Ovis aries: one gene and its partners. The protein of the gene in region 4 interacts with the protein of the main gene of each other region in a biochemical or structural test. Links are inferred from orthologs where the notes say so. Each region holds a gene or a part of one and is shown on either strand. Other genes may lie near its edges. The genes, in order: KITLG, SH2B3, MPDZ, KIT and TEC.

Region 1 (4,658 bases), on a different chromosome or scaffold from region 4:
TGTCTCCTGAGTCTCCTGCACTGTGGGCAGATTTTTTTTTTTTTTTTTTTTTAACCGATGAGCCACCAGGGAAGCTCCCTTGAGTGTGGCAGATAGAATAATGCCTGTACCTGCTGCCCCCTCAACCCCTACCAAGATATCAATGTTCTAATCTCTGGAACCTGTGAATATGCTATGCTAAATGGCAAAGGGGAATTAAGATTGCAGACAGAATTAACGATGCTAATCAGATGATTTAGGGAGCATACCCTGGATTATTCAGGTGAGCCTAATGTACACAAGGTCCTTCCAAGTGGAAGAAGGAGGCAGAAGGGAAGGCCAGAGTGGGTGATATGAAGACTCCACTCACCCGTAACTGATTCTGAAGAAGAAAATATCTGTGAGCCAAAAACTCTGGATTACTTCTAGAACCCTGGACAAGCAAGAAAAGGAATTCTCCTCTAGAGCTTCTATAAGGAACATAGCCCTGTCAACATTTAGCCCTGGGAGATCCATTTTGGACTTTTGACCTCCACACTGTAAGATAATAAATATGTGTTGTTTAAAGTGAGTAAGTTTTTGTTATTTGTCACAGCAGTGATGGAAAACTAATACTATGAGCTTCAAATTTTACCTAGTTTCTTGTTTTTCATGATTATAAGTTTGGCATATTCATTTCTCTAAAAAGGCTCACTGAATTAATTAATTTGGAATCCTACTCATTAAAATACCTAATTCCTAAATTTACATAATATTTTTCTTATAGATTATTGACATTAATCTCTAGTACATACTTTCTTCAAAGAATTAATAAAATGCTTTTTAGTGGTCTGAAATAAGAACAAATATAATGGGGCTTTAGAGAGTCAATAATTGTTTTAAACATTTTTGAAAGCTATATAGCCAGGACTCTGGATTCAAGTTAAGTTCTGCCATTTACTAGCTGTGATTTGGGAAAGTTGACCTAATTCTGTTTCATCAACTATAAAATGGAAATAAAAGTGACAAGACCTAAATAATAGATTTGTGGAGAGGATCTAAGTGAGATAATCGCTGTAAAGTACTAACGCTTTACAGGCACAGCGCCTGGCATGTAATTAAGTGCATCGCACAATGGTTTTAGTTATTATTGTTGTTGCATTATCTGACTCCAAAACCTTCTCCAACAACAGAAAGTACAAGTTTCAAAAGTGCCTGGTTCTGTGGCCTGCCTGTTACCTACCGCTTCTCGTTTCGTCTTAATTTCTAAAGCAGCAGCCATAAATCACTCTGGAAACAGCATCGCCCTTAGCAACATTCAACTCTGAGTCAACAATCATTTCAATGATTAAATATCCATTCACTAAAGTAATTGTTTAAAAAAATTGGAGTGGGACAACGGCCTAACTATATAGATCCTAATTAAGCTTTAAACATATTTTTCCCTAAAGCAGGACGAGGTGAATTCTTCGCTAGGCCCCGAGTGACCCCTCCAGCCCCGCCTCTGCAGTAGAGAAGAAACTACCAGCCGTCGCCCAAGCTCAAGGTTTCTCGTGAGTCCCCGGCCGTGCCAGGCTAAGAGGCAGATCAGAGACTCTCCGCGCCCGGGGCGCAGAGCGAGTGGCGGCTGCAGCGTGTTCACCTTCGTCCTCGGCGCCCCCGCGCCCCAGTGGTCTCCCAGCCTTGCGCGCACCAGCCCCCCAGCGCTGGAACGCGCTTCGCTTGATCTGTCCAACTTCTGGCGCTCCAGCCGCCCTCCAGGGTTTGCGCCCCTGCCCCCTGCCCCAGCCCAGGCTTGCTTCCCCGGGGCTCCGGAAGGGAAGGAGGCGTGTCCGGAGTAGGCGGGCGGGAGCCGTATAAAACTGCTGGCGGCGCGCCGGCCCGGGCTTCGCTCACCGTCTCGCGCCGGGACAGGGATCGCCGCGGCAAGCACTGGCAGTGGAGCGGGCGTTGCGCTCGGGCTCAATGCGTGGACTATCTGCAGCCGCTGCTCATGCAGTATGCTGGAGCTCCAGAACAGCTAAACGGAGTTGCCACACCGCTGCTTGGGCTGGATCACAGCGCTGCCTTTCCTTATGAAGAAGACACAAGTAAGTAGGGCGCGCCGGGGAGCTCGCCAGCTCTCCAAGAAAAACCGTGCCCGGAGGCCGGCGCGTTCCGGCCCCAGCTGCCCCGGCGTGCGGGGCTGTGCCTGCCGGACGGGCCTGGAGGGTGTGGGGGAGGCAGGAGAGGCGCGCGAGCCCCAGCCGCCCGGCTTGGGTGAGCCTGGAGAGGAGTGGGAAGGATGAGCGGGTGTCAAGTTTGGAGCCGTAAGTTGGGAGCTGTCAGTCGGGAGCCTCAATTCCTGTTAGACAGAAGGATCTGTTCTTTGGCCGGAGAGTTGAAGTTATTCCAGAAAGGCACGTCCTTGCACGGGAGACATTTTCCCGTGGATTTCGGGAAGATTACACAACAGTTCCCCACGCGCCACGCTCGGTCACTCGCGTACTCAGATTTTTGTGTGGCTCCGGTGTGGGTGCCGGGCTCGTGTGGACTCTGGTCCGAGTCAACCCCGAGGTCCTTATTCGCCGCGCTCAGCTGGGTGGAGAACCTGCCCCACCGGCCGGGGGAAACTTGGCTCCCACGGCGTCTGCCAGGTTTGCGGCTCTAGGCGAGCTCTAGATAGGGTAATACCTCCACATTGCACCCACTTTTTTCCATTACAGAAGAGAAAAAGTTGTATAAGTGTGCGCGCGTGCGTATTTTAATGGGCACCTCTGGTGGTAGTTACGGAGGTAATTCCCGGTGCTGCAAAATTTGCATTATGCACAAGAAGCACAGAGGGTAGGGCACCGTCTAGGGGTACAATTAGTTTTTTTTTTTTTTTTTTTTCCTTTTCTTTCCTCGCAGCAGATATCTCTGGCTTGTCCTTGATAAAGGGCCGGAGGGGCACTCCCATTCACAGTTCTTTTCGCCAGCTCTCACCTCTACTTTCTCCCATTAGGAATTTTTCTGTGTTATCTGCTGCGGGTTAGGTGAGGCTGCCCTCTCACCCCCCAGAGGTTCTGTTGGAGATTGCAATTCTTGACACGTGTCGAGGGGGTGGAAGTGGCGGGTGAAAAGATTGTATACGTCTTCAGTTTAGAATCTTGAAAATGCTGTATTTAATGACACACTGTGTCACATTTTCAATAAACGTCTAGATCTGGGAAGGGTACCAACGCATTCAGAAGCAAGTAGGAAGACCCGAGCCCATTACACTGTGTGGAAAAGAGCAGGGGTCTGGGACTTGGCCTGGCAGAAAGGTTTGTGTAATCTCTAGGGCAGCTGCCCAAGGCGGAGGAAAGGAGCGCAGCGCAGGTTTCTTTCTTGCCAGCAGGTTAGTTTATAGGCAGAGCACCTGGGATCACCGCAGCGGGCTGTTGAAATGCAAATATGGAAGACTGGCAACAGAAGTTTTAAAGTAATTGCTTGACTTATACATGCTTTCTGCTGTGTGAAATTAATAAGCATGGGCGGGGAACCAATTCTTTGTTACAGTAGCATCTGCTCACATGAATGGCAGTAGTGAGATCTGGGTGGAGAACCCCGCTACCTTCCGGTTCAGGAAAACAGCCTAAACCTTCCTATTTAAACAAGATCTCTGGAGACAGATCAGGTTAATGACCAACAATCCAAAGGTGGGGGGTGGGGGGTGGCGTATGGGACGGTACTATCAAGTCAAGTTAGATTCGGTAGGATTGATGATCCTTGCACCCTTGCTTGCTTTGCAAAACAAACGGTGAGCTCTGTAATCTCCTCTCTCACTTTGATTAAATGGCTGTGTAAATCGGATTACATGGAATAATTCCATTGAAAACTAGAAAGAGGTCGAACTAGCCTGAAACTCCTTGGTGGCAGTGAATCAGTACTGCTGACCAGGGACGTTGGAGACAGGCAAGTATTTTAGAAATGTGACCTGCTCAGGCTGAGTAAAAGTGCAAGCCCTTTGGGGGAACTTGCTGATGCTGAAGGGCTGGAGGCAAAGGAGGGCAGTGCCCTTGGTGAATGAAGGCATTCATTGCCTGGGATCTAATGACCTTCAAGGTTTCCTTTAAGGATACTTCTAGCAATTCCACATTCTTGCCACTGAAGAAGGAGACCCTGGAAATAACATGGAATCAATGAAGTAATCAGTGGAAATGGGGGAGGGTGCGTAGGTCCTCATTCATATTGTTAGCTTTTCTAATCCAAAAGTTACAAAGAAATTTTCTAGTGCAACTCTGTATGGAGGGAAAGTAGCATAAGGTAATCTGGCATTAAGAGATGAGATCAATCGTTCCAGTGAATCTAATGTTATACTCGAAAGGGTGGAATAGCTATTAATATTCAGTAGTTGAAATAGTCATTTATAAAGATGGAATCAATTTCAAGTTCTGTAATAAAGCAAACAGTTGTGTACCCTTCCATTACCCAAGATATAGAATGATAAATTAATATACTTGAATTATGCAGCTCTCCAAGAATCACAGGGACACCAGGCTGTAAGACACATTCTAGCCTAATAGTCAAGCTAAATAAATGTGGAAATTCCACCAACAACCACTTGGGGTGTGAAAAAACGATTCTTTCATTTATTTAGCACATGTGATGGACCAGCAGATGGGCAATAATTACACGGCAGGAGTCGTGAGGAGCAATTTGAACGGTTAAGTTTTAATCACGTCTACAGAAATGAAAGT
Region 2 (4,626 bases), on a different chromosome or scaffold from region 4:
TGAGGTCCAGAGAGGTCAGGTAACTTGTCCAAGGCTTCACAGCTAGAAGCTGGCAAAGCTCAGATTTGGTTCTAAAACCCATGCTGCTACTGGGAGAAGCAAGAACTGAACAGAGAAGTCCTCTCATTTGAATAACAATAACAACAACAGTGTCCATTATTAATTGAGTGCCAAGGCCAGCACTGAGTGCCCTATGTGCTCTGTCTCTCCTACTCAGGGTGGGCAGTGCGGGAGAAGGGCAGCTGGAAGGTCCCTCCAAGTGCCTCCATCACCGCCCCCTCTGCCCCCAAGGAAGCTCTGTCCAGGAGGCGGCACAGCCGGACCCAGACACCCAATGGCGCCTACAGGCTGAACCCCGGCAGGGCCCCCCAGCTCCTCCCGGCCCAGGCTTCTGCTGTATTGCAGTAGTTCTACAGGTACGAATTTGTGTTAGAAGTTCCCTTTAATGGAGAAGGATCAAGCCCAGGATTCAAAAGAAGGGCGGAAGGGAAGGAGAAGAAAAACAAGGCACACACAGCAAGATAACAACAATCTCTTCCTTATTACTATTCTTCCTCCTGACCAAGCCATTCTAAACACTTCATGAATTCACTCATTTATGGTTCCAGTGACCCTAAAGAAGTAGGTACTAATATCACACCCATTTGACAGATAAAGAAACTGAGGTGGGGCCACAGAGCCGGGATTCACCAACATCTCACCCTGTCCAGGAACTCCAGAATTCTCCTCCCAGAACTCAGGAAACCCCAGAGCTGCTCGCGCAGGTGGTGCTCAAGGGATGCTGATGAACAAACATTCCACAGCCAGTAACAATAACACTAATGATGGTAATGAGGAAAATCACCACCACCTGTAATTGAACCTTTCCATGCCAGGCTCATTATATGCCTACCACAAACCTATTATTACCTCATTTCACACAGGGGGAAACCAAGTCTTACAAGTGTCACTTGCCCATGCCCTCGGCTGGGAAAAAGCAGTGGGGGTAGGGAACCTAAGCTTCCACGACCCTCCTCTGTCACTGCTGAGCCCCTGAAGGAACTCAGACGCCAGAAGCTGATTCTTTAGTCCAGCCCCTTCCCAGCTGGCTCCTCCATGGCCCACAGAGACTCACACGAGTTCTAGGAATGTTCACCCTTTGGCTCCAAAGGATTTTCCCTCCCAGAGGGGGGTTGTGGGAAAAAGCTCAGAAAAACTGTATTAAAAACCCATCCAACTTCCCCAACGGGCCCTGGCCTCTCATCTGCTGACCCCAGCCTGACAAAGGGTCTCAGTCCGCTTTCCCCCTCCTACAGCTGGGTCTCTGGGCCCCAGGGGGCCTCCAGGGCTGTTTCCGTTCTGGCAGCCAGGTCAGTGATGGGAAATTCAGACACAGCTCGCACCCACAACTCTGGAGATGCATGTGCCCACCGCCCTGGCAGGGGCCCTAGGGATTGGACTGTAAATGGGAACGGACTGGCTGCCCCAGCTGAGCAGGGCAGCTACTGGGTGTCGGAGGAAGCTCATCTCCCAGGGCAGATCTCCGCCCCTCCTGCTCCCAAAGCTGGTTCTTGGCCATCCAGACTTCGTTTTGCCAGGCCCTCTGTTCAGAAACCCCCCTCCTGGAGCCCAATTTCACTTCCTCCCACTCAGTCCGGCCTGGCCATTCCCCTCGATGGAGGCCTCCAGCTGCAGGCAGTGAACTCCTTACCTACATCATTGTGGCCCCGGGAATGGGGAAGAGAAACAGGAGAATGAGGAAACTCAAGGAAAAAAAGTGGAATGGCAGGCAGGCCCCCCTCCCCAGTTCCTCAAATGCAGTCCCACTGTCCCAAAAACCCCCAGGAACCGAATGAGGGAAGGGAGGGGATTTCTGCACCAGGCATTAAGGGCCTCTGAAATACCTTTCAGCCCTGCTGACCTATTAGGCCAATGACTTGTGTCCCTGTTTATTTTGGGGTGGAAGGATTCCCCTGCAGCCCCATGTCCAGGGTGGGAAGGTACCAGTCCAAAGAGAATTGAGCTCTGAAAGCCCTAACCCTTTTGAACCCACTGATTCTGCAGCATGGGGGCGCCTGGGCCACCCCACCTCCCTAAGGCAGAGAATGGGGAGAGGGGTTTCTGGAATGCTGGGGGTGGGGGGTGCTGAGTGCTATCCTCTTAGCCACATGGCCTGGCCTGGGAGAGTAGGGAGAGGCCTGTGCCCCACTCCAAGAGGACGCTTCCATTCTCACGGGCTCAATTTGACTACTTTCACTTTCAAGGTACCAAAGCAGTGACCCCCAGCCCCTCCTCTCTAGGCACAAACTGACTGGCTAGGCTACAGTAAGAGGCAGCTGGGAGTATTAGCCAAACCCTCTCCCAGCGCCTCCCCCACTGCCTCAGCTACCCCCACTACATCCCCAACACGTGTGTGGGTGTCGCAGGAGCTGGGGAACGGTCACCCCTGAATACCCCCACCTGAGTGAGCAGCAGGACAATATTTTAGGCAGTTGCGGGAGTGCGCAGACACTGGGCAGAACGGGACACGGGGCCTCCCCGTCCCCCATTGAAGCCGTCCCAGCCCCGGAGGAGGGGAGCACTGGGAAAGGCGTGCTTACCTGAGAGAGAGGGGGTCCGGGCCCGGCCGGCCCATGGCGTCGCGCGCCCCCGGCCCCCCGAAATCCCGAGGGGGCGGGCGGGCCCCCGCCCCGGGCGCGTTCTCTCCCGCGCGCCGGCTCCTGGCTCGCGGCTCGCTCGAGCGGGGCTCAGGCAGGAAACCCGGGCTCGGAAAATGGCCAGCGCCTCATCATTTCCGCCGCCAGCGCTTGACAGTTGCGGGAGGATGCGCCTCCGGGCCGGCACCGGGGAAACTTTGCTGTCTCCGACGTCGCCACCGCGGGCCGCGACAGTCCGGGCGGGCGGCCGGGCGGAGGCGGTGGCCCGAGCCCATGCCGCCCCTCGCCGTTATGTAAAGAGGAACCGGCTGTGCTAGCAGATCCCGGCGGGGGAGGGCGGCTACAAGAGGGGCGGGGCCGGGGAGGGGCCGGGCCGCGCGAAGCCCCGCCCCCGGCCCGCCCGCGAGCCGGACTCGGCCGAAGGCGGAGGGGGGCGGGAAAAACAGGGCTCGAGGGGCGGGGCTGGTCCATGCCCCGCCCACCAGCCCGATTTCTCCGCAACTGACCGAGTCCTGGGGTCTCAATCGCAAGCCCGGAGAGGCGGGCCCTTGTGAAACCACGCCCACAGCTCGCCCACCCGACGGCGTATCGCACAGCCTAAAGTAGGGAACGAACGGCAGGAGGGGCGGGGCAATCCTGGCCCCACCCAGGGAGCGTCAGCGACCACCTCGGGAGCCTCCACGCTGTGGGGGCGGGGTCGGATGAAGAAAAGGCGGGGTCTGAAGGCGGGGCCAGGCCAAGGCTCCTGGCCTCGAGGGGGCGCGACCCTGCCGACTGCCTCCTGCCGACTGCCTCCTGCCGACTGCCTCCTGCCGACTGCCTCCTGCCGACTGCCTCCTGCCGACTGCCTCCTGCCGACTGCCTCCTGCCGACTCCCTCCTGCCGGGCCTTATCTGCGCGCGCCGGGCCGGTCAGTGCAATAGCGACCGCAGCTTTCATCATCACCCGGGGAAGGATCCCAACCCCGCCCAGCCCCGACTATCCGTAACTCTACTGAGCCGACCCCCCATAGCGCCACCCTCAGCTCTACCCCTGTCGTAACCAGTGGCCCTGGAGACGGGCCTCTATGGGCCCATCCATTTCCCAACTCCAGGAGGGCATCCTTCTCCAGGAAGCCTTCCTGAATCGCTGGCTCCCATGGCCTCTGGGCCTCCCTCTCTGCTCTCCCCGGGGCTACTTTCATTTTATTTGAGCCAAAGGTGGGGTGAGGTTCACAGTGGGGTCCGCACTAGCCTGAAGGGGAGCACACACCCAGCCAGCCCTTCCTCTAACACAGGGAAGGAGGGGAGAGAGGAATGTCTGCTCTTCTCTCCCTCCCACAACAGGAAACAAGTCGCTCACACCCCCAGTTTGCAGGGGCCACATGGACTCTTTCCAGACAACACACTCTTCCATTCCCCTGCCTCCCCCTCTTACTAAGCTTGGGCAAATGACTTCACTTCTCCACACCTCAATTTCCTCATCTATGAAATGGAAATAATAAGAGTACCCATAACCCAGGGTTGTTTTGAGGATTAAATGAGTTAATGCATTAAAGTACTTAGCAAGGGGCTTTGCCCAAGGGGAAACACTGCTAGTGTTTGTTCAACAATCAGGCCTGAGTCCTGCCGTTGGTGCTACAGGAAGGGGTTCCCCCAGAAGATGGGGATTTCCAGATTTCACCAGATGGCGGAAGGGGGCCTGTCTGCTGTAGGATCCTTAGAGTTCAATAACCTTGAAGGAACTGGCCACAGACATGTGCTTTCCATAAATATGTATGTCAGGCATTGTTCAGAGTGCTGGGGACACAGCACTGAATGAGACAGACAAATATCCCTGCCTTCATGGGAATCCCTTGTCCTCAGCTGACATTCTGGTGAGGGGATGTAGAACACGAATAAATAGAAAGTGGGATAATGTATTATGAAGATGACAGAACAGTAACAGGATGGAGAGTGCTTCCCAGGCTCTCTGAGACTGGACGCTTGGAGGACCTTCTGCTGCTAAGTCA
Region 3 (4,532 bases), on a different chromosome or scaffold from region 4:
CATGCAAAGAGGACTGCAGGGACGAAACAGGGCACTGCCTACATGCCAGAAATTTGGAACACAACAAAACCTGACTTCCGCCTCTCCCTTCCCCAGCAACAACCACCACTGGGCTCAGGCACTACAATGAAGCAGTGTGTTAAAGGAAGAAAGGAAACCAGAAACAAGTGAAGGGAAAAGAAATACTGAAAAGAGCCAAGGAAATGGGAGGGAAGGTTATTACATGTGAGCAATCTAGTAGTAAAACATTGAGATAAACATCGATTTTTTGTTTGTTTTACAAATAAGGTAGGCAAGACAAGCGCTGATGAGTCAAGGAGCCCCCCAAACTACCTTTGCGTAGGTGACAATTTGCCTGTGGAAAGGAACTTATGACACCCCCTAACCTCTGCTTCTCTCTACATAAATAAACAAAAATATAGTTATCAAAACTGCTCAGGTAGCAGAGTAACTAGATGTCACCAGAACTCACTGCAGAGCACCTTGAGATATAGCTATCTATATTAAACATAAGATAACTAAATATATAGTTTCTGCTAATCAGAAACCCCACTTTAGGCTAGATTCTAAAAAAGAAAGATGCCAAAAGGTTAAGAAAACTTTTTGAGAGTGAAACGTGGAAATGAGAAAATCCAGCACATTAACTTGCCCAACTACTGGGGAACAGTCTGCCATTTCCTAGGATACCAGAAACAGGACTTAAAAGGCAATGAAATTAAACAATACACTCATCACAAGAGGGAGTATGTAAGCAATACTTCTGAAGCCTGATCTTGATTGGCAACTTTTTCTGTAGAGTAAGACAGTAAACTTTTGGGACTCTGAAGGCTATCCATCTCTATCTCAACTATGCAACCAATCAACTATGTCACTGCTTCTGTGAAACCAGATACCAAGAGTAAGAATGCACCACGGACAAAAGGAATGAGTGCGGCTGTGCTCCAATTAAACTTTATGGGCACTGAAATTTGATTTTCATGTAATTTTCACGTCATGAAGTGTTATTCTTTTGATTGCGTTTTTCGACCATTTAAAAGTGTACAAACCATCCAAAGCTCTTAAACTTCAGGGGAAAAAACCAGGCTGCGGCAGAATATTTGGCCCATGGCTCTTAAGTTTACATATCTCTGCTTTTAAGGATTTTCCTGTCAACTGTGAGGAGCAGAGTGTGCAGTACAGCCCAGTCTAGATAAATGTCGCCCATTTATAAACTAGCCCATTAGCAAGCAGGAAATCTGGGCATCCCAGACAAAATTATCTCCACCACCCTCCAAAGCTTCCAGCCCCTCCCTCAGGCAAGGGTGCAGGTGCAGTCACCTTGAGCTTTGCATTGCATTAGAACTCTAGCCAAGGAACTTCAAGTTTTGGGGTTTTTTTTTTAATTCAACTGCCTAATTCTACCAAGGGCTAAAGCAAGTATTAAGCAAATTTAGATGATGCAATTCTTAGATAAAGTTCACTTTAGTCACCTATACCCAAACGTACATGTAACCCTGAAAGCCCACTGCATCACCTTGTAAGTTTTTCACACTAGATGTTATTTATTCTTAACAGGCAACCTAAATGAGAAATGTCCAGAGAAAAGGAGTGTTTACACCATGGCTGTCCAACAAAGCTGGATGACAAGTTTGGCCACTTTTCAGATTATTCCCCTCTCGACATCAAAAGAACTTGGAGAGGTTTCCTTCTAGGCTGGTGAAAGTAAGGTCCTCTCATCTGGTATCTCTGAAACATTAGCTGCCACCCGCTCCCATTTCGCCCAAGGCACATAGCGCCCATACCCAGGTTCTGCCCTAGCAGAGCGACCTCAGCACCCCCAGCCGCGGAGATGGAGGCAGACGTCCCGCCACCCTCGACTCGCCCGCGGACACTGAGGAGCGGCGGCCACCTCCGGCCTTCGCACGGCCCCTCCTCCTCTCCGCAGTCCCAGCTTGAATTTCCACGCGATCTACAGGAAAGAATAGCCCAGCCTTTGTGCCTCTGTAAGAACGCAAGCAAGAATTTACACCATCACCACCGGTGAAACAAACACACACACATACACGCACAGCGTATTCAGAGAAGCGCTTCCCTAGAAACATCCGGCATCCTGAGGCTGCGAAATTGCAGACAAAGGCGCCCCACTGGCGCGGGCTGGGTGGGGGGGGGGGAGAGCAGAGGGGGGGAGGCGAGAGAAAAATGCTCCCACCAACGCGGACACGAGATGTTAAGGGCACGGGCGCTAGGGGGAGGGGTGAGAAGTGGGGGCGGGTACCAGTGAGCCGCCCGTTCTGGGTGCCCCGCTGCAGCCGAGGCGAGGATCGCCAGTCTAGGGGCGCATCCCCATCCCTGCCGACCCTCGCGGAGCAATCGAGTGGGCGTCCGGGCTGAGGCGCGGCCAACAGCAACAGGCGCCCGTGCCAGGCCCGGGGCTCCCCTCCCTGCCACCCTTACTATGCCCTTCCAGGCGAACGAAAAGATGAAACTTTTCAGCCTCTTAAGAGTCAACAAGAGCAGAAGAGGAGGGAAGTGGATTAAAGAACCAGGACGACCGCTCGGGAACCCGGCGAGTCGCAAAGGAAACTTCCAGACTCCCATTCTTTTCAAGAGCCAAAGAAGCAGCGACTTCTCGGTAGCGCGGGGTGGGGCAAGCTCACCCCTCCCGCCGCCCGCGCCGAGCGCCCAGCCCCCGGCACCCGCGCACCTTCCCAGCCGGGGCGCGCGCAGGCCGCGGGGGCGCGCTCCGGCCTCCCGGCCCGGGCCCCGGCGCCGCTTACCCGGCTCGCGACGGCCGCCCTCGGCGGGAACGCTAAAGGGGCGGGGGGTGGGGACGCGGGGAGCCTCGCCTCGCCCACGCTTGCTCTCCTCTGTCGCGGAGTAACGGCCCGGCGAGGAGCTTCGGAATGAACGCGCACAGACGCTCCCGCGCGACCGAGAAACTTAATCCCGCCCGAGCACCGGCGGCCCGAAGCCAGCTTCAGCCTCCGTCGCCCCCTCCCGCTGCGTGCGCCGCACTTGCGCCAACCGGGGCTGCCGCGGAGGCGGCGGCGTTGGCGGCGGCGAGGCTCGGGCCGCCCGGGCTGCGTGACGCCTGCGGCCGGCGGGGCGGCGGGCGCGCCTCGGCCAATCAGGGGGCGCGGCCCAGCCGGCCGGCCCGGGGTTTAAACCAGCTCGGCGGGCGCTCGGCTGGGGTGTGGGGAGTGGGCTACGCGAGGTTGTTGGGGAGAAGCCCCGTTTAATTCCAGTGTCAAATTTTAAAAAAAGAAGCGTTCATTTGGACAAGTCTGCCCCATGCAATATTTGGGATATTCTTCTACACCAAATTCTTATACACTTCCCTGGTGGTTCAGATGATAAAGCATCTGCCTACAATGCGAGAGACCTGGGTTCAATCCCTAGGTCGGGAAGTTCTCCTGGAGAAAGAAATGGCAACCCACTCCAGTAGTCTTTCCTGGAAAATCCCATGGACGGAGGAACCTAGTAGGCTGCAGTCCAGGGGGTCGCAAAGAGTCGGACACGACTGAGCAACTTCACTTTCACTTTCTATACACTAAAAAACTGTTTATCTGAAATTCGGATTTAACTGAGCAGCCTTGATTTTATTTGCTGAATCTGGCAACCTTTGGGAACTTATTTCTGAGAACCTCTTTTTTTTTTTTTCTTTTGAATCCCAAGGGAAAGGGCCACCCACTCCAGTATTCTTGCTTGGAGAATTCCATGGACTGACTACAGTCCATGGGGTCACAAAGAGGTGGACACGACTGAGCGACTAACACACACTCTCTCTCTCCCTCACACTCTGTCACAGTCTGTCTCTCTCTGCTTGTTAAAGTGATGAGAAGCACTTTAATGAGGACGCCTGGGCGCTAATCTCACTTTGTAAAAAAGTAACTTTTAGCGCATCAGTGTCCATTTTTTGACAATAATCGAACTAAAAGACACAAAGGAAAAAATGTAAGAAGGCTTCAGAATTACAAGGTGCCAGAAAAAGCATGTTTATTTCTATCTTGTGCCGATTAAGATTATCTTTCTGAAATCCTCGATTCATGAGTCCCAGGAATCTTGTCTGGGAAAGAAAATTGCTCCCTTTTCAATACATAAGTGTAACATTAGGGCATACATCAAAGGATACGCAGAAGCCCAATTAAAATGTTTAAAGAATGTATTTAATATCCTGAATTAAAGATCTATTTTTCCTTGGCAGAATTGTAAGTTTTGATTTGTCTTTTAAAAGCGATTTGTATATATTTCTACAATATTCACCAACTATTTGAGGGGAAATAGGTTATAAGATAGACAAGACTTCAAGGGGAAATTGGTTTGAGTTTTTAAATGGATATTTTCAGAAAGCTACAAAATGAAACATTTGCCTGCAAATGACTAGGAATTGAGTAAAGTGACCTCAGTGCCCTGGATGGAGTATCCTCAGCCCAAGCACCCTTGTGCTTTTATAAACATGAATCCGCCTAGTTTTTCCCACCAGTGAAAGAAAAATACTGACTAGATTTCTTCATAGTATATGGATATTCATTTCCTCTGAGTCTTTTGAAAAT
Region 4 (4,644 bases):
AAAAACTAAAAGGAGTGCCTAAATAGCTCAGTTGGGAGAGTGTCAGACTGAAGATACAAAACTAGAGACTCTGAATATGAAACTGGAACCTTAGAAAATCACAGCAGCCAATCCATTCATTGTGCATACAAGTGCATACATGCATCCGTTGCATGGAGGTAAGTATCTGTTCATTACTTATGAGCTGCAAAAGCACTGTGTTAGATGCTGGGAGAAAATCCACGTAGAAGGGACACAAAGTCCTTACACTCCAGAGCTTAAAGTACACAGCGTTCAATGTCAGAATAATGAAACATAGATTCAAGACAGCTTCAGGCTACAGAGAAAGAAGTGGGCTGGATTTCCACAGTATCAGAAGAGGAGAAAGAGCAGACAGACAGATACCACAGACAGACACCAGAGACACTCGTGCACAGTGAGATACCCGAGGTCAACTAGACTCAAGGAGATCAGTGAAAAGTTCTGGCCCTCAGGCCAGCAGAAGCCACAGAACTGACAGTTAAGGATTTAGACAAGAGGACGATGTGAGGCGGCCAGAGAAAGAGCACACTAGTGGTGACGGCGCCATGAAAAACACAAAAGGTTGACTCACGTACAATCCGGGCGAGGGGGGCGAGGGCACCAGGATAACAGAGCTCCCTGGGGGGCTTTCAGCCACTTCTGCAGGATCATGGGGGAAATGGTTCATGTGCCTTGGAGAGGCACAAGCTCCCCTCCACACATACAAGGTCAGAGACAAGAACTGATGTGGGTTCTGAAGGAGCAGCAAAAGCCATCCAAGCCAGTGGAGGAAGCAGCGGGTGGGCGGCAGGGGCCAGTGGGAGGCAGGGGCGGCCAGAGGAAGCCACAGCAGGAGCCTCTGCACATGTTCAGGGCAGGGATGGAGAAAAGGTGAGAAAGGGGCAGAGATGGGAGAAGCGGGACACCTGCTCCCAGGTGCTACACCTGGCCAGCAGGTGGACTTCCCACCACCAATTCAGATGGTAAGAAAGGGACAGAGATGAGAGAAGCGGGACACCTGCTCCCAGGTGCTATACCTGGCCAGCAGGTGGACTTCTCACCTGATGATGTGAAATTCAGATGGTGGGGAAAGAGCAGTACCTGTGAAGTTATAAGACAGGATCAAATAATCCAAGGAAACGGTTTTGTAAAAAAAAAAAGAGGGACACAATGAGTACTGGTCGCAGAGTTTTTCCAGCTAAGAGTGGGTAGGAAAGAGCCAAGACAGATTTTTTTCTTTTAATGGGACCATCAGAAAGGAGGGGGAGAGGCTAAAATAGACAAGGGAGGCAACACATCAAAAGGTTTCCAAGAGAAGGTGGATGGGTCCCAGGGCAGATGCTGAGCAAGATCAAAGGGAGCGAACACAGGTCCCCAGATCTGGTTAGGAAGACACCACAGGAAATCCAATTTCAGTTGAGTGGGAATTTCTGTTGGCTTCAAGGTTAAGCCTGCAAGTGTAGACCTCTTCCTGGAGAACTATGGCAGGAGAAAGCACAGAAATAGATCTGTAGTTAAAATTTCAGTAGCAGTTAAAAGGTTATAAGTTTATCAAAAAAAAAAAAAAAAATAGGAGGCATGCTGACATCTGAGGATAGCAGGAACAGAATCCACAGAGAGGGACAGCCCAAAAGTGCTCTACAGAATGGCTGAAGTTGTCCCCTGAAGGTGTGTATAAATCACCAGTCTCAGTTTAGTTATCCAGACAAGTATTTCATCTGAGTGCCTTCCAACCATGCCATCAATTATAGCCCCATGACGTCATGCAAAGTACACCCCAGATCAGAAGATTCTGGGCAGCCTTGAGTCATGAACAATAAGGTGAATTAGTCATCACATGTTACCGAGCACCAAGAGTAAGAGAAGTGCTATGGCCCAGACTGTGTGTGTCCCCAGACTGAAGCTCTAAATGGTGGAACCAGACTATGGAAATAAAGTAGTTGGGGTGATTTTTAGTCATACAGACTGTTAAATAATGAAAATGGGCACAGTGGTAAGTGAAGATGCTGGTTTTTCAAGTAGTTATCTCCTTTAAAAATGAAGTACTTTCAATTTAATTCAAAAATTCTTAAGAATTTATACTGCAAATATATTTCATTCTGGGCTTCCATGGTGGCTCGGGGGTAAAGAACACAGCTGCCAATGCAGGAGATGCAAGTTCAGTCCTTGGGCTGGGAAGATGTCCTGGAGAAGGAAATGACCACCAGGGTCCTCTGTCCACGGGATTTCCCAGGCAAGAATACTGGAGTGTGCCGCAGTATTTCTTTCTTCACTTAGTTACTATAGTGAAAGCAGTAAGGCATCCTAGGTAAGAACTTGACTCTCTTTATTTTTTGAGGGTTCTAATTTTTTTTTAATTGAAGTATAGTTGATTTACAATTATGTGTTAATTTCTACTATAAACAAAGTGATTTGGTTATATATATATATTCTTTTTCTTACACTTTTCCATTATTGTTTATCACAGAATACTGAATATAGTTCCCTGCGCTATACAGTAGGACCTTGTTGTTTATCCATCTAACTTACTTCCCTCAGTACCATCACATTTAGAGATATGACTGTCCAGATTTGCATCTGCCAGAATGCAAGCGTGTGATCCTTAAGAAAGTTACCAAGCATCTCTACCTTGGTTTCCTCATCTGGAAAGTGGGGACAGTAACAGCACCTAATTCATAAAGCTGTTATGGAAAGCACCCAGAACTGTCCTCAGGCATGCAGAAAACACGTAATATGTACAAGACACGATTACTCTAGAAACAGTCTCATCTTCCCTCCAATCAGTCCTGACATTTCCTATGGAAGTAACTGGGCCCATCATTTCCCAGATTTCTGCCTGACTTCTCCCTCCTTGGCAATAAATCATACCAGTCATTCCCTAGAGCCTGTCACACATCCCTGTACGTCTCTCCACTCCTGCTGCGCTGATCCCAGACGTTATTTACAATGTCCAGAAAGAAAATCCTTTCCTGAAAGATCTCCATGTCTCCAGCCTCCACTTACCCCACCCCCAAATCATCCTGCCTCATAACCCTGAGATCCGTCAGCCTAAAACACTTTTTCAACAGCCCCAACACCAGCCTCAAAAACCCTAACAGAGGCAAGCAGCAGCTAACGCTGACATTATGCACAGCTTACAGAGCACTCTCATGGTGTTAATTTCTAGCTGTTTCCTCTGGACCCAACCTGCTTCTCCAATCCTTTTAGCCTAAGGATCCTGTGAACGCTCTTCATTCCATGCTATGCCCACCTCTCTGTCCATGCACCCAGGACATAACTACTCCATCATTTTGCCTCCTTATCAAGAAGAAAGCCCAATCTTCATGGATATTGTTTGCTCTCTAACTATTCCAGGTCACGATCACCTGTTCCCACTAAACTCTCCAAAACCTTCAGCTCCATCACCCATTTGGCTTCTGATGTACAACAGTGGTCTACATCTAGACCTTACCTCTGCCTACTCTGGGGTATTAGGGCCCTCAGAACAAGGATCACAAATCCCACTCCCTCTCCACCCCAGCACAGTTACACAAAAGTGCCCTTCAATCACTGACCATATAAAAGATTGGAGGAAGGACAGGTTCTGAAACACCTAGCCCCAGTAACAGATGTCAACAGTCTACTGACCTCTTCTCCAAAGGAGAACAATGTCTATTCTGCTGCTCTACTAAGAAAAAGTAATGGCTTGATTCATCCATTAAAATTACCATAGGTACCACCAAAAGAAAAGGTTCCAAATTTGAGATCACTAGCTTACACTTTTGGAGAAGGTAATGGCAACCCACTCCAGTAGCCTGGAAAATCCCATGGACGGAGGAGCCTGGTAGGCTGCAGTCCATGTTGTCACGAAGAGTTGGATACAACTGAGCAACTTCACTTTCACACATTGGAGAAGGAAATGGCAACCCACTCCAGTGTTCTTGCCTGGAGAATCCCAGGGACGGGGGAGCCTGGTAGGCTGCCGTCTATGGGGTCACATAGAGTCGGACACGACTGAAGCGACTTAGCAGCAGCAGCAGCTTACACTTTGCTTTCAGAGTTAAAAGAATAAATTTTTAAAACAGTCACCACCAGAGGCATTCAGGGTTTTCTTTTCAAAATAAAATGTAAGTTCAACCCACAAACTTGAGCATATACTAGAATGTGGCTGCGGATATTATTTATTCTCTTTTCTCCAAACTATCTTGAGTGCTGTTATAATGTTCTCTCTCTTACACATACACACACACAAAGATTAGAGGTTCATGTTAAATATATATATATGTATATATATATATATACACACACCCACACACATACATACAAACACACAGTATGTGTGTCTGTATGTGTAAAAACACAGACATATATATATATATACACATACATACCTTTATATTTAAAAGTCAATATCAATAAATTAGTCCAACTGAGCTTTGAAACTGCTCTGGAATCATACATTTTGAAATGTATCTGTATATAGCAAGTTCTCAACAGACATTTGCTGAATGAGGTTTTATCTATGTCAGGACTTTTTGTGTTTGAAATGTACTTCCCTAATGATGTTTGACTAATAAAAACACTTGAGTTATTTTCTGTTTCCTGAATATGTTAATTAATGAGTCCCCCAAATATGACAGATGGCAAAACCCACCATTCTGAGGA
Region 5 (3,879 bases), about 3.4 Mb from region 4:
CTGCAGCGCCCTCTGTGACCTGTCCCACCCCCATGGCCTTGCTACCATTTTATTTCCCACAAAACCCTCACCTGGGCTCTATGCTCAAGCAGAACAGTCTCCACACTTGTGTACACACACTACGTCCAGTGCCACCACCCGATCTTTGCTCACACTATCCCCTCCCGGCCAGCGCCACTTCTTGGCCAGAAGGCCTCTTCCCATCCCAATCAATGCTCTTAGGAGGCAAATGATAGCAAGTGACTGAGGGCATGGGCTTTGGAGTTGGACAGGACTCTGTTTCTCTACGGCAAAGTGGCCTTGGGCAGGCATTAACATGGTATCCCCATCCACACCGTGGTCAATGTATCCAAACTTCACAGGGTTACTTTGAGGACTAACCGAAAGCACTTAGCACAGTGCCTATCACGTAATACTTGTGAACTAATGTTAGTGTTGGAGAAGGCAATGGCACCCCACTCCAGCACTCTTGCCTGGAAAATCCCATGGATGGAGGAGCCTGGTAGGCTGCCGTCCATGGGGTCGCTAGGAGTCAGACACGACTGAGCGACTTCACTTTCACTTTTCACTTTCATGCATTGGAGGAGGAAATGGCAACCCACTCCAGTGTTCTTGCCTGGAGCATCCCAGGGACGGGGGAGCCTGGTGGGCTGCTGTCTATGGGGTCGCACAGAGTCGGACACGACTGAAGCGACTTTCTTCCAAAAGTCACTTTCGTGTCTAATCTCTGTCGTTGTTGTTTAACTGTCAGTCAGGTCCGACTCTTGTGACCCCATGGACTGGAGCCTGCCAGGCTTCTCTCCATGGGATTCTTCAGGCAAGAACACTAGAGTGGGTTCTCATCTCCTTCTCCAAGGGATCTTCCCGACCCAGGGATCAAACCCACGTCTCCTGCATTAGCAGGGAGATTCTTCACCACTGAGCCACCAGGGAAGCCAGTCTCTTCTATGAGGTAACATTTCAACACATGGAGAAGGAAAGCTTCCAAAGACTACGAGTAAAGAGACCTGAGGAATTTGAGGCTTGGAGAAAGAAATCCTCTCTGGTGAAAGAGTATATATTTCCATAACACAAGAGGGCCACTGAAAGAAGAGCTACTTCTCCAGGTTTGTTCCCAGAGTCCCCAACTCAGGCAACCACGGCAGGATGCCCACTTGGGAGGGAAGGGGCAGCCTGAATTGACTATCTTATTATTAGTGTTTTCCTCATCTTCACATCTTCTTCCTGTTACTCAGACCGAGTTGAGAAGAGCAGCTTCCTACTTAAGAGTCTGAAATCATGTAAAGCATGCACTAGGCTATAATGACCACACATTAAATTAAAATCTACCAAGCCCAGATCCCTGAATGCTTTAGAGACTGAGGAAGAAAGCACCCCAAAAATGTAATACCTCCTGCCAACATCTCAGCATCACCTCGTATACATATCTGGAGGCCAACTTTGGCTGGTGCAGTCGGTGGCCGCGGGTAACCATGGTTACCACTTCATAGTTGGTGTTTTTCTCAAAGGGCATTCTGCCTTCAGTGAATACTTCCCACATTAAGACACCTGGAAGACGAGAAGGATTGCCAAACAATGCACCCACTTCCTCTTTAGGGCAGAGTTGAGGGGAAGTGGAGCTCGAGTCTTACCAAATGACCAGACATCTGATTTGCTGCTAAAGCGGCTGTAATTAAACACCTCAGGTGGACACCACTTCACAGGAAATTTAGCACCAGAAGAACTCGTGTACTGATCATCCAGGACATACCTGGGGTAAGACAGTGAGTTATGATCTCTATTTTGGACAGGTTCTTTAATACCCCCTTACCCCCACCCCCGCCACCCACCCCAGAATCAAAACACAGTTGATTGAAGTCCAACAAGCATCCGGTTGAAGCTGCTTGCCTCTGCAGCCACGCCTCTGCGATTGTTGTCTTCCTCTGGGTGCTTGAGATGGAAACGCTGTAACATTCTATCTGCACTTTCACTTTTATGTTTTTCTTTTTTATAAGGCAGTGGAGGCAGCACACAATAAAAGCTTGCAACCTTTTTTTTAAATAAGCAATTTTGTCCTATAAACCAAGTTCTACCCAAAGGCTGCATTTATAAAACATCTAAAGCAGAGCTGCTCTAAGGAAGTGGTGCAAAGAGCCTGGAACATGTGCTTTTGCCCCCATGATTCCACAGAGCACCACTTAAAACTATAGCAAATAAGAAGAGCAAAATGATGTCTGTACACTGTGGTGTATATACCACAACATCCCTCCTCTATACATACACACTCAAAACAATAGCATGTAATTCTTCTGTGGGAGTACACTTATGTCCTTCCGGGAAGACACACACAAGCTGGTAACACCAGTTACCCCTGGGGAGGATCCTTAATTGGGATGGTAAACCTGGGTTCTTCAGCCCTTTTTATAATGTGTTCAGTATGTATTTGCAAGAGGAAGGTGTTTATGTAGTACAGGGACATATGAAGTTAACTTATACAAGCTCCATGGGAAAATTCAAATACTTGCACAAACTTCCCTTGCTGTATAGACAAAGATGGTGACAATGCCACCATGGGTGCCTGTCAGCAGAGTTTGAGTTGAGTGTGGAATGAGTGTTTTAGAAGCAGGGATTCCCAACCTCTAAGATCTAATGCCTGATGATCTGAGCTGGAATTGATGTAATACTAATAGAAATAAAATGCACAATAAATATAATGTGCTTGAATCATCCTGAAACCATCCCCCACCCCGGGTCCATGGGAAAATTTCCTTTCATGAAAGTAGTCCCTGGTGCCAAAAAGGTTGGGGACCACTGTTTTAGAGGGACTGATGCAAAAGCACAGGTTTTTCTGAAAGACTGACATATACGAAAATCAAGCATGAAATTGGAGATCTTCCTGGCAGATACAGAATGTCTTCACAGAATGAAAACAAAGAGCACTGGGTCATTACTTCCTGAGAGTCGGCAGTTCTGGTCCCATTTCTGACAGTAATGGCTTTCAAACCTCCCTTGGCTTGAATTTCCTTAGGAGAGAGACCTGGCTGTATGACCTGGCTTTGCCTGCTTTATAACCGTTCCTCACGCTGGCCGTGGGCCAACCACCCTGACCCTCTTTTGACTCCTGAGCAGGCCAAACTCATCCCTAATTTCAAATTTTTGCACTCGCTGTTTCTTACCACCTGGATTATTTTACAGTCAGATTTTTCACCTAATTGACTACTGCCTACCTTTTGAGTCCCTTTCCAAATATCCTGGTCTCAAAGAGCCTTCCAGAGCAACAGACCTAAAAAAGTAACCATCACCCCACCCCACACATCACTCAGCACCCACCACCCCACGAACCCCAGCTTATCACTATCACAAGGGTTGGCGAATGTTTTCTGTAAAAGGCCAGATCATGAATATTTCAGGTTTGCAGGCCTTTGTCGAGAGAAAGCAGTCAGACGAGTCTATGTCCTAATAATATCATATTTATGGACACTGATATTGGACTTTCAGATCATTTTCACATGTCATAACATTTTTTTAAGTTTTCTTCAGACCATTAAAAAATGTGAACACCGTGGGTGGCTCAGGTTGTACAAACAGAGGTGTCAGGTCAGATGTGGCCCGGAGGCTGATATTTGCGAACCCCCGTGCTGGTACCTCACTCTGTTGTTTCCCCCTCTTAGTGCTTCTGAGGTCTTATGCTTCTCTCTCCTCCTGAATTAAAGCTGCACATGGGCAGGGACTCGAATGTCTTAGCCTCTGCTAGGCTTCAATCTCTAATGTTGTGCCTAGCGCAGCACAGGCACCTAATTTTTTTATGGATGGAGGTACAGATGCCTGGAGAATTCCATGGACAGAGGAGCTTGGAAGGCTCCAGTCCACAGGGTCGCAAAGAGTCGGACAGGACTGAAG

What was found.
Region 1: the proteins of KIT (region 4) and KITLG form a complex in vitro, tested with the Homo sapiens proteins (3 studies listed by BioGRID and IntAct, with this or other methods). The link is inferred for Ovis aries from reciprocal best matches to the Homo sapiens genes KIT and KITLG.
Region 2: the proteins of KIT (region 4) and SH2B3 form a complex in vitro, tested with the Homo sapiens proteins (2 studies listed by BioGRID and IntAct, with this or other methods). The link is inferred for Ovis aries from reciprocal best matches to the Homo sapiens genes KIT and SH2B3.
Region 3: the proteins of KIT (region 4) and MPDZ form a complex in vitro, tested with the Homo sapiens proteins (2 studies listed by BioGRID and IntAct, with this or other methods). The link is inferred for Ovis aries from reciprocal best matches to the Homo sapiens genes KIT and MPDZ.
Region 5: the proteins of KIT (region 4) and TEC form a complex in vitro, tested with the Homo sapiens proteins (2 studies listed by BioGRID and IntAct, with this or other methods). The link is inferred for Ovis aries from reciprocal best matches to the Homo sapiens genes KIT and TEC.

The regions. Positions count from the first base shown.
Region 1 is NC_056056.1:124,865,377-124,870,034, reverse strand, and holds the start of KITLG (kit ligand), read left to right. Parts: upstream 1-1,841; 5' UTR 1,842-2,033; coding exon 2,034-2,048; intron 2,049-4,658. UniProt on the Homo sapiens protein: Ligand for the receptor-type protein-tyrosine kinase KIT. Plays an essential role in the regulation of cell survival and proliferation, hematopoiesis, stem cell maintenance, gametogenesis, mast cell development, migration and function, and in melanogenesis.
Region 2 is NC_056070.1:55,166,042-55,170,667, reverse strand, and holds the start of SH2B3 (SH2B adapter protein 3), read right to left. Parts: upstream 2,932-4,626; 5' UTR 2,580-2,931; intron 423-2,579; exon of another isoform or gene 1-422. UniProt on the Homo sapiens protein: Links T-cell receptor activation signal to phospholipase C-gamma-1, GRB2 and phosphatidylinositol 3-kinase.
Region 3 is NC_056055.1:81,785,752-81,790,283, forward strand, and holds the start of MPDZ (multiple PDZ domain protein), read right to left. Parts: upstream 3,017-4,532; 5' UTR 2,757-3,016; intron 2,635-2,756; exon of another isoform or gene 2,049-2,634; intron 1-2,048. UniProt on the Homo sapiens protein: Member of the NMDAR signaling complex that may play a role in control of AMPAR potentiation and synaptic plasticity in excitatory synapses. Promotes clustering of HT2RC at the cell surface.
Region 4 is NC_056059.1:70,895,573-70,900,216, reverse strand, and holds the start of KIT (mast/stem cell growth factor receptor Kit), read right to left. Parts: upstream 3,026-4,644; 5' UTR 1-3,025. UniProt on the Homo sapiens protein: Tyrosine-protein kinase that acts as a cell-surface receptor for the cytokine KITLG/SCF and plays an essential role in the regulation of cell survival and proliferation, hematopoiesis, stem cell maintenance, gametogenesis, mast cell development, migration and function, and in melanogenesis.
Region 5 is NC_056059.1:67,509,701-67,513,579, forward strand, and holds part of TEC (tyrosine-protein kinase Tec), read right to left. Parts: intron 1,751-3,879; coding exon 1,632-1,750; intron 1,549-1,631; coding exon 1,391-1,548; intron 1-1,390.